Linked DNA regions of Elephas maximus indicus. The protein of the gene in region 2 interacts with the protein of the main gene of each other region in a pairwise test. Links are inferred from orthologs where the notes say so. Each region holds a gene or a part of one and is shown on either strand. Other genes may lie near its edges.

Region 1 (6,969 bases), on a different chromosome or scaffold from region 2:
CATGAGCAAGCCTCTGCACTGCTACTGGACTGAAAATGCAACCTCAGGCAAACAGTGAACCTCCCGTGTTTCACTAAGGTTGTCAACTCCTTTCACCCATTTGAAGTTCACCACAGTCAAAAAGTATTCACCCTCCCTCTGTTGCTAGACCAAATTTATCAATAAAGCCTTAAATGAATAGGTTCCTAAGCCTAGTTAATCTGTTCATTTATTCAACAAATACTAACTGAACACCTACTAAGAGCATTTAAAAACAAAGAGAAAGAAGCTCTCTCTTAATTTGAAACTGCCTGGGTTTAATTCACAAGCAGGTATCTATGTGTATCTCTTCCCACAGATTGTGAGTTCCTTCAATCGAGAGATTGCAGGCAGCAAAAAGATTCTGGGCTTTGCAGCCAGGTGGACTGTCACTGAATCCCTAATTTGCTACTCCTAACCATGATCTTGAAGAAGTTACTTAAATCCAGAGCTTCACATTTCTATTATTTGTAAATAAATAAATAAAATCTTTACCTTTCAGGACTGCTGTGAGGATTTAAATATTGGATATGTGACATATGGTAAATGCTCAGTAACTGAATACATGGAAAAAACCATTAATAAAAATGGAACTAGCCATGTCACCTTAATTCATTCAGCTGCTGATATTTAAGTTGTAGCTGCTCTGAAAATGTAGCACTGAAAGCAACAGAAATGTTTAGTTAAAACTCATCAATGTGCATACCAAGCAGAAATATACTGTGTAGAAAAGAAGCCAAGAGCTTTCTAGTTAGTATTTCCATCACTCCAACACCACTCCCAGAGGCTGGTAGGATTCTGGCTGCCAGGCCTGACACGGAATACAACTGCGAATCTGAGCAGGCCCAAGAAATCTGCTCTAGCTTCACAAGGCCCTAGATAAGTCAAGCCTAACTTTGACTCTACCTTTAAGGCCTCAGAGACACTGAGCCAACCTTAGTCAAGTGGCTTCAACATCACAAGGAACCTTTTAGTTAGCCTCTCAGCCATTTTCTCACCCACCTAAACAAATCTCTGAAGGATTATCCAAGTCTAAAGCTGCCCTCCTAAAACTGGGTCCAAGCTGACCCACACTGAGAATTTGGAAAGGTGGAAGTGACTATTTATTTGCCCTTTTCCATTCTCTTCCTTATACTCAAAAGGATAATTCTCCTCAGTATTTTCTTTTTTAAAGCTACACTAAATTTAAGACCCAAAGTATTGGCTGAAGGAAACCTGATAAAAAGAAATATTTTCACAATATACCCAATTCTCTTAGCCACTTCCAGAAGCTCTGTAACCTATCAAAAAAAAGTGACCAATTTATCACTACACAAATGAGTACAATACTGTCTACTTACATGTAGATGAGAAAAACTACAGTCCCAAATACGACTCCCATACTAGAAAAGTCAAATGATATAACTGCCTCTCACTTCCTACAACTTCAGATAAAAAAAAAAAAGTCATTTCTGAATGAATCACAGTGTGATGGGGAAGGAACCCAAGACCCCTGCCCATGCCGAACAACTGCCAAAAGCTGGCAGGCTTCACCGCACTGTAGGCCCCAAACGAATAGGTTCCTGGACTAGTTTATCTGTTCATTCACTCAACAAATATTTACTAAACTACTACTAAGGGTGAGGCACCCAACACAAACCGCCTTCCAGAACACACGGTGGTAAACAGGCCTGACAAGGTCCCTGCCCCGCCCTGCTATGGTCCTCAATGAGGGAAATTACAGAACTGAGAGAAAGCTCCAAAAACTTGTCGTGGGCACAGAGAGTGTTTTTAGCTGTTTGCCTCATTACACCTTCTAATGGAGTCATTCCTGAATTAAAAACATTTGTTAAGGGGTTAAGCGGCAACTTTCAAAACCACTTCTTCAGCAGAACTTACATTCCAAAAACAGACGACCATCAGGTAAACGAAAAATAATTTCAGAGAGTGGTAACCACTAGTACGAAAACGATAGGAAGTGGAGTGATCTAATATAAATGGGGTTCTCTAGAAGGCCACACTGAAGAACACATTGAGTGCAAGTAAACATTAACCTTTGTACTCAGAACCAAAAGCACAACGAAGTAAACACTATCATTTTTAAAAATTAGTTCTCATCAAGACTATACTTCATTTTATTGACCTGTTGTTAACTTCCGAGTAAAACCTTCCATGCCCAAACCCACTGCCGTCGAGTCGATTCCGACTAATAGCGACTCTATAGGACAGAGCAGAACTGCCCCACAGATTTCCGAAGAGCGCCTGGTGGATTCGAACTGCTGATCTTTTGGTTAGCAGCCGTAGCTCTTAACCACTGCGCCACCGGGATTACCAAACCTTCCATAGCCCCCCCCTTTTTTTTTTAAGCAAATCAACAACAGGTAGTAAAACCTGTGTTACCTCACTAGACTTCGGAGTCTCAGTCTCTAAACAAAACTTGAGCTGCGTTTACAAGGCTGGCTGAGTTTTTAATGATCGTTGTTCACGCATCTAACGCAACTAACAAAAGAGAAAGACTCACACCCTCTGTGCCCTGGGCTCAGCCAGCTCCCGCACACTAGGGAACGCAGCTTTCGCCCGGGGTGCGTGGGCTCGCGAGGGCGTGCCGGCCCCGGCGGGCCCAGGTCCGGCCGCCGCGGAGAGTGGACAGCGGGGGCGTGGCGGCCCCGGCGCCGGCCTTTGTTGTCCCTCGTGGCGCGCGGAGGGGGAGGGGCGGCCCGAGGCCCGCGAGGCCAGTAGCCGCTCCCGGTCCCCGGCGCGTGCCCTCCCGGCGCCCCCCGGGCGCGCGAACCCACCTTCTTGTAGTGCTTGCCCAGCCAGACCCGCACCGAGTCCAGCTGGGACACCGTCTCCGGGCTCTCCCAAAACTTGCTGGCCGGGCCCCCGTCCTTCCGCCGATAAACGGCCAGGCCCGCAGCTGCCGCCGTGCCACCCGCGCCCGCGCTGCCCGCTGCCGCCCCCGGCCCTCCACCGCCCGCCGCCGCGGCCATCGTGGCCGTCCGTCGTCCCCACCGCCCGGCCTGCCCGGGCCCTCGCGCTGCTTCTCCTTCGCACCCGCGCGCGCGCGCGACGCCGCCACCTCCGCCTCCCAGCCCCGCCCAGCCAACCCCCTTCCGGCGCGGATGCCCGGCCCCGCCCCATCTCGGGCTGGCGCCCTAACCGACGCGAGCACGCGCACACGCATGCGCAGCACTCCCATGCACACAAGCATGCGCAACACTACCACCCGGCGTGCGACTTCGGACGAGCGCTTCTGCCCGCCTCTTCCTGCAGTTTACGCTCTCCGCTTCCCCCGTTGGGCGTCGGCACGCCTCGCTCTTTCCCTGGTTCCGGCGTCGGGTAGCTATGCGGTCCGTAACCGCATGGCGCGTTTGTCTCATCGTCTGCCACACCGGAGAGGAAAGGCCCGGTGTGAGAAATGCCGAAGGGAAAGCCGGTATAGAGTGCTGAGGGACCCACCTGCGGGTAGGAATTGCACCAACTCCCCGCTTGCCCTCAGACCCTCTAGACGAAGCGACCGAGTCTGCCTTTATAAACGTCCGTCAGGGTCCTTTATGCCCCGGAGCCGCTTCACTTAGCCGATTTGTCCTCCCTTGCGTGGCTCCAGCCACACTGTCACATTCCTGCCTAAGCTCATTTCGGCAGCTAGCTGTTCCTGCGAACTCCACTGCCCTTCTCTGATTTTCACTTACGTAGCTTTCCAAATCTATAACCTGGAGGTGTTCCAGAGAGATCCCTAAGCATACAATCTTCGATTGATGACACTATACTAATAAAAGCTAAAGGTTGTGAAGTTACAATCTGCTGTCTTGCCTGAAAATAAATGACACGTGTTTATACATGTTGTTAGGTGGAGTGGGTTCTGACTCATAGTGACCCTGCAGGACAGAGTAGAACTGCCCCCATAGGGTTTCCTAGGCTGTAATCTTTCTGGAAACAGATCACTAGGTCTTTTCCCTTGCTGAGCGGTTGGTGGGCTTGAATCGCTGATTCAAGAATTAAGCAACCAAGAATTAAGCCATTGTGCCACCAGGGCTGCTTAAAATCTTCAACTCTGGGTAGCACTTATACACCCTGTTATTTTTACTTATTTTCTTATTGTAACCATAAGTTATTAGACAGCCTAGTCTTGGTTTGTTGACAGATGTGCATCTTTCGCAGGTATGTCACAGGAATAATGCTGTGTTCTTTTCATTGCATATTATTAGGTGGCACAAGATTTCATTTCTCCCATTACTTTGGTGATTTGATTTAAAGAGTATCTAACAGTTTTCACTGTAAAGTTGTTCTTTTCCCTTTTATAATTCATAGATTCTAGAAAAGTGTTTCAAAAGTATATAAACCATTCCTCACCAAATTTTCCACTTATATCAAGATAAAATTAAAAAAAAAAAAAAACTTGCCATCAAGTTGATTCCAACTCATAGCAACCTTATGGTACAGACTAGAACTGCCCCATAGGGTTTCCAAGGAGAGACTGGTGGATTCGAACTGCTCATCTTTTGGTTAGTAGCCAACTGCTCCACCACTGCACCACCAGGGCTACTATACCAGGATAGACTCCTGATTTCCTATTTCATTCGATGGGTTATATTGTCTATTACTATCATTACTGATTTTGTGTTGTTATAAAAATACATGCAACACATTTGCCAATTCAGTGTTTTTCAGGTGTACAGTTTGATGATATCCATTACATTGATTATGTTATGTAACTATCACCCATAATTGTTGCCAAATTTCCCATCACCATAAACAAACACTCGCTTCCTAAACAATGGTTCCCCTTTTCCCCCCCGTCCTTCTCGCCCTTGGTAACCACTAATAAACTTTGGTCTCTACACATTTGCCTATTCTTGTTATTTCACTTAAATGAGATCTTACAAAGGAGCCCTGGTGGCACAGTGGTTAAAGCACTCAGCTGCTAACCAAAAAGTCGGCAGTTTGAACCCAAAGATGTGGCAGTTTGCTTCTGTAAAGATTTAAAAACCAAACTGATTGCCATCAAGTCGATTCCAACTCATAGCAACCCTATAGGACAGAGTAGAACTGCCCCATAGGATTACAGCTTTGGAAACCATGTGGGACAGTTCTACTCTGTCCTGTAGGGTCGCTATGAGTCGGAACCTACTTGACAGCAGTGGGTGGGAGATCATACAATATCTGTCCTTTTGTGATTGACTGATTTCACAGAGCATAAGTTTTTGATGTTCATCCATGTTCATTATTGACTTTTATGTTAAAAATGTGCCAGAGTTAGCCAGTGGGAGACCCCTCAACTGGCATCTGTGTCTTTTTTACAGGACCGCATTATTCTTTTGGCATTGTCTTGCCTTCTGAAATAATGAGATGTTCCAGGTTCATCTTGTACTCTCCACAGCCCTGGACTCAGCCATTTCTCAATGTAGGCCCAATTTTGAAGTTTCTAACAAGATAACTTTAGCAGTTCTCATAAGTTTTCAGGAGACTCCTCATGTTTCACTGACCACAATTGGACACTATCTTAGTCTGAGTTCTCTAGAGGAGCAAAACCAGTGAACCCATACATAATTATATAGAGAAAGATTTACTTCAAGGAAATGGCTCGCACAATTGCAGGGACTGGCAAGTCTCAAATTTGTGGATCAGGCAGCAGGCTGAAGGCTTCTGCTGGCTCACATGGTTGCAGGGGCTGATGATCCCAAAATCTGCAGGTCAGGCAGCAGGCTGGAAGCCTCTGCTGACTAACAGGGTTGCAGGGACTCACGAATCCAAAATCTGCAGGTCAAGTGCCAGGCTAAAGACTTCTGCAGGCTTATGTCCCAAGAGTCAGACGTCAGGCGACCAGAAGAGTGCAGGGTTGACAGAGGGAGAGAGATTGAGCACGTGAGCCTTGCCAGAACACACCCACAAGGAAACTCCCCTTTCGACTCATTGACTGATCACATCATGAAAGTGATTATGTTACATTGTGGAAGAGTAATCAGTCCAATGTCTGCCAAACCACTGAGAATTGGAGTCTAGTCAAATAGACATATAACATTAACTATCACAGGGACCTTGTTGTTATTTTAATCCTTGGCAAAGAAAATGAAATTAACCCTATAGCAGATGGCTAAAACCTGGATAGTAAACTCATATTCTTACTAACTTGAAGAATTGGAGGAGAGAGTTTGGAGCAACCACAATAAAAAAAAAAATCCTAGAAGGAGAGAGTCACAAAGGGGGAGCCCTAAATTCTGTGTATAAACTCTACTAAATCTCTGAAATATGTATGCATGGAACAGATTCCAAGCAGCTCAACTAAGCTAAAAGAAGTAAACAGAGATTAGTTCCTGTCCATTGCACAAAAGATAGGGGTTGGAATTAGAGTTCAGCCAGGCTAACCGGCTAACTGAGAAAAAGATCAGTACTCTTCAGAGAAACAGAATTCACAGTATGTACAACATATAATTCACAAGGATCAGGACATTATCCAAAAATATTAAATATAAAAAGAAATAGAAAAATATGACCCATATTCAAAAGAAAATACAATTGGTGGAGACCAATCCTAAGATTATCCAGATGTTGGAATTAGCAGACAAGGATGTAAAGCAAGTAGTATAATTTACCCAAGGATGTAAAAAAAATATGCTCATAATGAATGAACAAATAGAAAAAACCAGCAGACACACAGAAACTAAAAGAAAACCTAGTGGTAAATCTAGAACTGAAAAATGTATGAAATTTAAAGATATAAAAATTCACTGGATGGACTAAATAGCAGAATAGAGATGGCAGAAGAAAGTGAACTTCAAGATACATCAATAGAAATTATCCAATCTGAACAACTGAGAAAAAAAAAAAACCAGACTCATGTACCTATGGAACAATATCAAATGGCCTAACTTCTAGGTAATTATATTTCTAGAAAGAGAGGAGAGAAAGAATGAGGCAGAAAAAGTATGTAAAGAAATTTTAGTCAAAAGTTTCCCTCATTTAGTGAAAGAC
Region 2 (7,528 bases):
ACCCACAGCAGCTCCCCACATCCTGACCACCAGCCTCTCAGAAAGCACAAGTTACTCATCACTTCCCCTGCCTCTCCCTGTGCTCTCCCCTCCCTCATGTCCAGGGACAGAGCTCCCCCCACCCTGGCAGCCCCACCTCTTACCTGCCGGCCCACTTCTCCATCACTTCTCCCTGATTGCCCAGGGCTAGGGAGAAGGGGACTGGAGGTAAATGCACTACTCAGGCATCTGGGCGTGGAGGGGAGGGAAGCCTCGTGGTTACTTCAGTCTTCAGAGAGCTGGGGCGTCGGGATGGATGAGCCCTCAGAAGGCTGTCTCAGAGTGAAGATGGAGGGGTGGGAGAGACTGGCCCACCTTTTTATGATTCTAAGGGTGGGAGCAGGGAGTCATACTGCCTTTGTCCATCTGCTGAAGCTAGAGGGTGGGGGTCTGACCTCAGCCTCCCAAGTATTGGCTCAGTCCCCTCCCCCTGGCCCTGTAGGAACCTCTGACTCCTCCCTAGACCCAACTTGGGTGTTTCTAGGCCAGCACAGAGTTTTCTTAATATGGTTTTCATCTGGGTCTCCCTCCTGCCCCCTAGGGGTACCTGGAAAGTTGAGGAAGGAGGCTCTGGTGAGGATATGCCAGACGTCCCCTCCGAGGATCTGACAAGGAGCCCCTTGGGTTTTCCAGAAACAAGAGCCTCCCCAGCCATCTCTGTTTCCTACCTCCCAGCTTTTTCTTTCCTTCTTAGCTAAGCTCCTTATGGAACAGTCAGGCACATCTCTGCCTGCCTCAAAAACTTTCGAGCCAAGGGATAAACTAAGTGGGTTGATGGTTTAATCTCAAGAGAAACAGATGATTTTCCCACTGCGATTTACGCTCCACTCTGGCCAGAGGTCCCTGAATGGCACAAATGGTCTGTGCCTGACTACAAACCTCAGAGTTGACAGTCTGAACCCACCCAGCAGCACTGTGGAAGAAAGTCCTGGTCATCTGCTTCCATAAAGATGACAGCCAAGAAAACCCTATGGAACAGTTCTGCTCTAACATATGAGGTTGCCATGAGTTGAAATTGACTCAATGGCAATGAGTTAATGGACTGGGTGCCAGGATCCTGGACTGGTTCAATGAGGGCTTGTTTCATGTGCAACTGTGACAGGCTAGGAGAACCTGAGGAGAGAGGCTGCCAGGGCTGCCCTTGCTCCCCAATCACAGGCCTATCATTCTCAAGATTCAGGAAGTTCTCCCTGAAGTCTAGCTTTGAGGGTTGGGGAAGTGGGGGTTGGAACCCTCCCCACCTTAAAGCCTGACTCTGCCCACCCCTCCTTGCCCTCCAGCCCCCTCCTTCTTCCTTTGAGCCCTTCCCATCCCCAGCCCACCATTTTGCTTCTAGTTCTGCTTTCCAGGAAAAAAAAAGTGTGTTTCTGTTGGAGCTGAAAGGCACCCAAAGAGGAGTCCAAGGAGCCAGTGCTGAGGTGGGCCAGCTCCAGGGCAGGAAAATGACAGAGAGGAGGGCAGGAATGTGCCTGGGGGTAGCAACACCCAGACCCACTCCCCTCTCTAAGACCCCAGGACTTGCGAATTTGAGGGAGAGACCAGAGTGGTCAAGCAGGGTCACCTCTGCTGCTCAGGGTTGGGATGGGGGAGATAGGCCGATGGCAGCTCCTTCCCCTGGCTAGGCCAGCCACTGAGGTCAGAGACTACACCCTGATGGGCGGGACGCTGGGGGCTCCCGAGAAGGGCCTACGTTCCACCCAAATCTCCATATCTCTGCCTGACTCTTGAAAACCCTAACTTGAGGTCGAAGCGAAGGAGAGATGGAGGAAGACCCTCACTGCCCTTCTCTGCTGCCAGGTCCCCTCTGTACTCCCTCTGTCTGTGCTTCTGTTACCAGAGGTTTGTATCTCGCTGTCTCTCTCCATGGGTCTACCCAGGACACATAATCCCGTCCTGAGCTGGGTTTGGCTTTGGCATATCCCTAGAGAAGTGAAGGGTGGGGGGTGGAGTGACGTGAGCTCCTGGGGCCCAGGCCAGGCCTGGCTCCCTCTCTGGAAAAGTCCCACCTCCCCCACCCCCCTGCACAGCTGGGCAGGGGGCAGATATCCCCTTCTCTCTGGAAACAGGCACACACCCCTTTTCACATCCCTCATCTGGTGTCTCTCAATGCCCAGGGTGAGGAAAGGAGACGTCAGAAGTGGACACTCTGGTGCCAGGCTGGAAGCTGCTCTCGACAACCTGGGCTCCTCCTGGCCACACCTCCTCACACTGGCCAGTGAAGATCAAGGAGCAAGACCTGGGCAGGGCTAACTCCTCAACACCCAGAGGGACCCACCTCTGGGAAATAGGGAGCCGCTGAACAGTATGTTTCTGGGCTGGTGGTGGAGAGTCCCTGTCCTGTGTCAGAACTCTTCGGTCCTCATCATGTCCTCCACTCTTGGGTCCTGGAGGACTGTACCAACAGGTGTCCTTCCTTTGGTCGACCTCTTCTGCCCTCAGGCTAAGCTGGATCAAGGGCACCCACCTGCATGCCTCCCAGCGCCCCTATTCCCCTCAAAAAGTAAAAGGCGGAGTGGGGGGCACACATTCTCGGAGGAGGGGAGGCGGCGTCGGCGCATGCCGGGAGGTCCTGGGTATGTTTTCCAATTTTACTATGTGACTGAGTAGGAATTTTGGCTTATTCCCCGCCCGAGTGATGGGGCCAGAGTTCTACAGGATCAGACTGCGCACCCCCCCCCCCCCGCCCCAGGGAATTCGACCCCAGGGTCTGGAAGATCTTCCGAGGCTCTAAGTGCCGGGGTCGGGGTCGTGGCGGGGGCGCGACCAAGGAGCGCGAGGCGCGGGGGCGGTGCGCGCGTTCGGGGCGGCCGGTCTAACGGGACCGGGAAGAGGGGGCGGCCGTGGCCGGGGTCCCAGGGAGGGTCTGTACCTGCTCTCCGCGCCCCCAGGGGCCGGTTAACCCTTCTGCGCCCGGGCGCTCTCTCGAGACAGCCTTGCTCCGCGGCGGCCACTGTGGCCCCAGAACAGGGCTCGGGACACTGCCGCCTCCAGCTGCGGCTCCGCCCCTGCGCCCCGCCCCGCCGCCGCCCCGCCCCGCCGCCGCCACGCGCCCCTCGGCCGCCCGGGGTGGGGACGGCCGACCTCCGGCTGCCTGTCGACCGGCCGGGGCCACCCACCCGGGGCCGCTGGCCACGGCGACCCCTGAGTGTCGGGCACCCTCCGACGGTTCGAGGAGCGAAGCCAAGGCGGTCGCAGCCTGGGCTGGAGGCAGCCGTCTCTCCCGGGCACTGTCGCCGGCCCGCGCGCTGGGCTCGGCTGGGGCTCGCGGACTCGCGGACCCCCGGCCCAGGGCCGGCTCTGGGTGGGCGGTGCGAGCGCGGCACCTGCCCAGGCGGGGCAGCCTGGAGAGGCGCCAAGGGTCCAGCTGGGTGGCGTAGGCGAACCAGCCCCGGGCCCCAGATGGAGGCTGTGCACCGGGCCGAGATGGCCCCGTCCAACCCCAGGTCCGTGTCGGTCAAAGCTCCTTTCTCCACGCAGCCAACGGTGCCACCCAGTCACTTCTGCCTCTCCCAAGTTGGGTGGTGAATCATAGTGGTTCTGACGGCTCGGGGACCTCTAAGAGCCTCGGTTTCTTCATCCATAAAATTTTACACACTGGGCGTAGCGGAAGGAATGCGCTGACTTAGGAGTCACACTGACCTGGATTTGAATCTCAGCCCCCAGCACTTGTTAGCTGTCTGGACTCGGGGTGAATACTTTAACTTCGGGGTGAATACTTTAACTTCTCAATGCTGCGGTTTCCTCATCTATAAAACGGGGCTAATTTGATATCTATGATAGGCTCGGAGATACATCTATCTATTAATTATAGCTGGAAGAATGCACCCCAAACTTGTAGGGGTGGTGACATCTGAGGAGGGGTTTGGGATTAGAGAAGGGATGGAGACTTTTTGCTTTTTACTCTGTATGCTTATATGTTGTTTGAATTTTTTTTTAACTACAAATTTTATCCATATATTGTTGTTATTATTTACCATCCAGTAGATTTGGACTCGGACTCATGGCGACCCCATGCGTGCAGAGTAGAACCGCTTCATAGGGTTTTCAAGGCTGTGACCTTTCCGAAGCAGATCACCCGGACTGTCTTCCGAGGTGCCTCTGGGTGAGTACAGACTGCCAGCCTTTGGCCTAGTAGTGGAGTGCTTAACCATTTGCACCATCCGGGGACTCCATCCATATATTAGTTATGTTAAAAATGAATAATATTTGTAAAATGGCTGATGGGAATAGATAATAAGTTGTCACTACTATTTTTTTTTTTTGCCATTTACTTATGATGTACGGTTATGTTTTGTTGGGTCTACTTGGTGTTTTGAAGGTTTTTTTTTTTTTCCAGTGACTTGTCAGTATTTTAAAAGCAAGATATTTTATAGCTTCTCTTGACAAACAAAAACACAAAAATAGACGCTCTAGCAACATTGCTGTGCATCCCCACAAAGAAACAGGGATCTCGAGTGCCCCCACCTAGCCCTGAGCACCTTTTGCCCTTGGTGCTGAGAACACAGTTAGAGGACAATCTCTTGCCTCAAGAGTTGGTCCAATGGTGGACAGACGCTGCGAGCCGGCGGGGATAAGTGCTGGGCTCAGCAAAAGCAACCATTATCTCGAAGACTACGCAAGTGAAACTATAAAATGCTTTTAAAATGCAAGAATTGTATCCTTATTTGAGTCACCATGCACATTTTGTTTTCTCAATAAAACCGTTCTTTCAGGACAGAGTCTATTGATGGTGCTTCGAATCATCTATATTTCTTCATATTTTGTATTTGTGTCTGTAGGGTTACAAGAAATATCTGAATTGCAGTGTTATGGAACAGGCAAATGAGTCCCAGGTGCCCAGGCCTGCCCTCCTGACTTTTCCCCCTGAACTCAGAGGCCCCGGGACAGGCAGGTGGGCTGGCTGGGGCACCTGAGACCCCGGTTACTGAGTCGGGGTGTAGGACGGTGTTGCTAAGGCTTCTATTTTTGTTTTTGCTTTTCCAAGAGCAGCTGTATTCTGGTTTTAAAAGTCAGTGAAAACGAACTTGTAAACACCAAGTTGTTGTTAGCTGTCATCGAGCTGGCCCCTACTCATGGTGACCCCATGCACAACAGAACAAACTACTGCCCAGTCTATCATAGTCTGGAAGGTTCCCCGAAATCTGTTCAGCATCATAGCAACATGCAAGCCCCCCCAGGTCTCCCACATGGAAAGCAAGAATTCTACCATTGCCTCAGAACTCCAAGCGGACCCAACAAAACACACCTGTGGGTCAGATTTGCCTGCAGGCTTTTGGATTTGTGCCTCTGCATAAAACCTCCTCTGTCCATCTTCCTAAAGGGTTTAGGCAGATAATAGGTTAACAGCTCCCTCCCAGGAGTGGTGTTTTATCTGGAGACTCCTGATGACACACGGTCCTAACCCAGAGGCTTATATATAGATGCAGATTTGGAGCGGGAAGCCCCTTTGCTCAGACCTCAGAGTATAATGCCTATGATGAACCACCCTGCTTATGGGGGAAGACGAAGATGTTTTAGGCCCTGGACCTTTTAGCGTCCCCCAGATCACACTCCATCAGCATCCACTTATCTACAAGGAGGTGAGCTGTGGGAAAGGAAGGTGGGAAGGAAGGCAGGAGAGTGAGAAGGGAATTTCGGAGGGGGGAAAATGTCCACCTTTGACATTTGTAGCTGCCATGAACTGAAGGTCAGAAATAGTCTTTTCCGTTAAGAAATGGCTGCAGACCAAAGAGCTCACAAGATTTACTACAGCGTCACCTCTCATGGCTTGATGTTCTGAAAATATTGTATAAAGAAAATAATTTCCTATGCCTCAGCAACTTGTGAAGTACCAGATTAAATTTGTGGACATTGTCTCAACGATAAAAAGAAGTTTCCTAAAAGATTAGGTAATAAGTAGAGGGAGAGAACAGATAAAGGACAGAGGGAGGGGGACAGGCTGAGTATTGGTCTGCCTTTTAGCTCCACATAGTGATTTAATAATAACAACATAGCTAAGGTGAACACAGTGCTTCCTCCGTGCCCGGGGCTGTTAGAAGAACTTTATACCCATTGCCTACTCGGTCCTCCTAGTAATCCTGTGAGGTGGGGACTGTTGAGCCATCTTATAGATTTGGAAACAAAGACACAAAGAGAAGTTCAGTAACTTGCTGCAAATCTCACAGCTAGAAAGTATGAGAGCCAGGATTCTAAATTTAGGCACCATCTGTATATGTTTTGTGCAAGTGAAATTTTCGAGAAAAGTTAGTTGAGCTCAATTAAAAAAAAAAATTTTTTTTTCAGGCAGTAGAGTAAGGAAGTTGTATTTGTGCTGAATGAAGTAACATTTTTAAAAAATGTATCGTTAAACACTTATTAAAAGTTGTGGTAAATATATAGGTAACAAACATTTGCCATTTCAACAATTGTCACACGTACAATGCAGTGACCTTAAATATGTTCGTTATGTTGTAAATAACGTTTTTAACTATGACTTTCATGTTTCACGTGAGACGTTGCTCCTATTCCAAGATAATGCGGATGCTAAAACTGATGTGTAAGGGGGGGTCCAGAAGCTAATGTGAAACTGTCTGTCTTTTGGTTAATAGTTATAACAACCATTTTCCAAAAGCCTGATGTTTGCCTTTCTGCCTCAGAATCATGGTTTGCTCAACTCCTTTGTTCCAGAAGAGCCACTCCATTCCCAGTTGCTAAACGCCAGGCTGGTCCCCGGGCGTTGATTCCCAGTGGCCTGTCACGTTATCTCACACTGTTTTTCGTTCTTTCAACTGATGCAGCTCTTCGGGTCATTTGACTTTGGTTTGCCCCCGTTAGTCCACTCCCCACAGCAGTTACGAGAAGGGCGTATTGTTACCTGTTCTCTACAAGGAACCTGGAGGTCAGGGAAGCACCTTCCATGTTTAGCTTTGTTTCCACCACTCTGCCGTGCACATACCAAAAACAAAAAAAAACCCAAACCGACTGCCTTCGAGTCGATTCCGATTCATAGCCGCCCTGTAGGACAGAGTAGAACTGCCTCATTGGGTTTCACAGGCTGTAATCTTTGCTGAAGCAGACTGCCACCTCTTTCTCCCCTGGAGCAGCTGGTGGTTTAACCTGCTGACCTTTTGGTTAGCAACTGAGTGCTTAACCACTGTGCTACCACGGCTCCTTTGCCTCGCATATAGTAGGCATTTAATAAATGTTTGTGGGATAAGAAGTGGTGAGTACTGCCTCAGCTCTGGCCACATTCCAGCACTGTCTGGTTGTCATGGCTGGGGTGGCTCTTGGGTGATGAATGATGAAGAAACAGGATGTGAGCCATTTGGTAACATGAGTACTGGGATGTGGACGGGCTGTTCTAGCCTCCCAACCACCGTTCTGTAGACTAAATTTGGTCAGAAATTCCCGAAGTTGGAATTCTTCTTGATTGGATTTCTACATTTCAATCTACCAGTGCCTCGCATGTGGGTCCTGGGATCCATGGTGACAGACTTGGCCTTGGTACTGC

Evidence for each region. The genes of interacting proteins can lie anywhere in the genome.
Region 1: the proteins of ADAMTSL4 (region 2) and SMARCC1 interact in binary tests that used the Homo sapiens proteins (3 or more experiments, as listed by UniProt). The two-hybrid records come from large-scale screens. The link is inferred for Elephas maximus indicus from reciprocal best matches to the Homo sapiens genes ADAMTSL4 and SMARCC1.

The regions. Positions count from the first base shown.
Region 1 is NC_064838.1:52,175,913-52,182,881, forward strand, and holds the start of SMARCC1 (SWI/SNF complex subunit SMARCC1), read right to left. Parts: upstream 3,003-6,969; 5' UTR 2,988-3,002; coding exon 2,793-2,987; intron 1-2,792. UniProt on the Homo sapiens protein: Involved in transcriptional activation and repression of select genes by chromatin remodeling (alteration of DNA-nucleosome topology).
Region 2 is NC_064821.1:184,670,709-184,678,236, reverse strand, and holds the start of ADAMTSL4 (ADAMTS-like protein 4), read right to left. Parts: upstream 2,432-7,528; 5' UTR 336-2,431; coding exon of another isoform or gene 292-335; 5' UTR 164-291; coding exon 144-163; intron 1-143. Other genes in the region: translation initiation factor IF-2-like, read left to right, coding at 292-335, 2,479-2,539, 2,647-3,482. UniProt on the Homo sapiens protein: Positive regulation of apoptosis. May facilitate FBN1 microfibril biogenesis.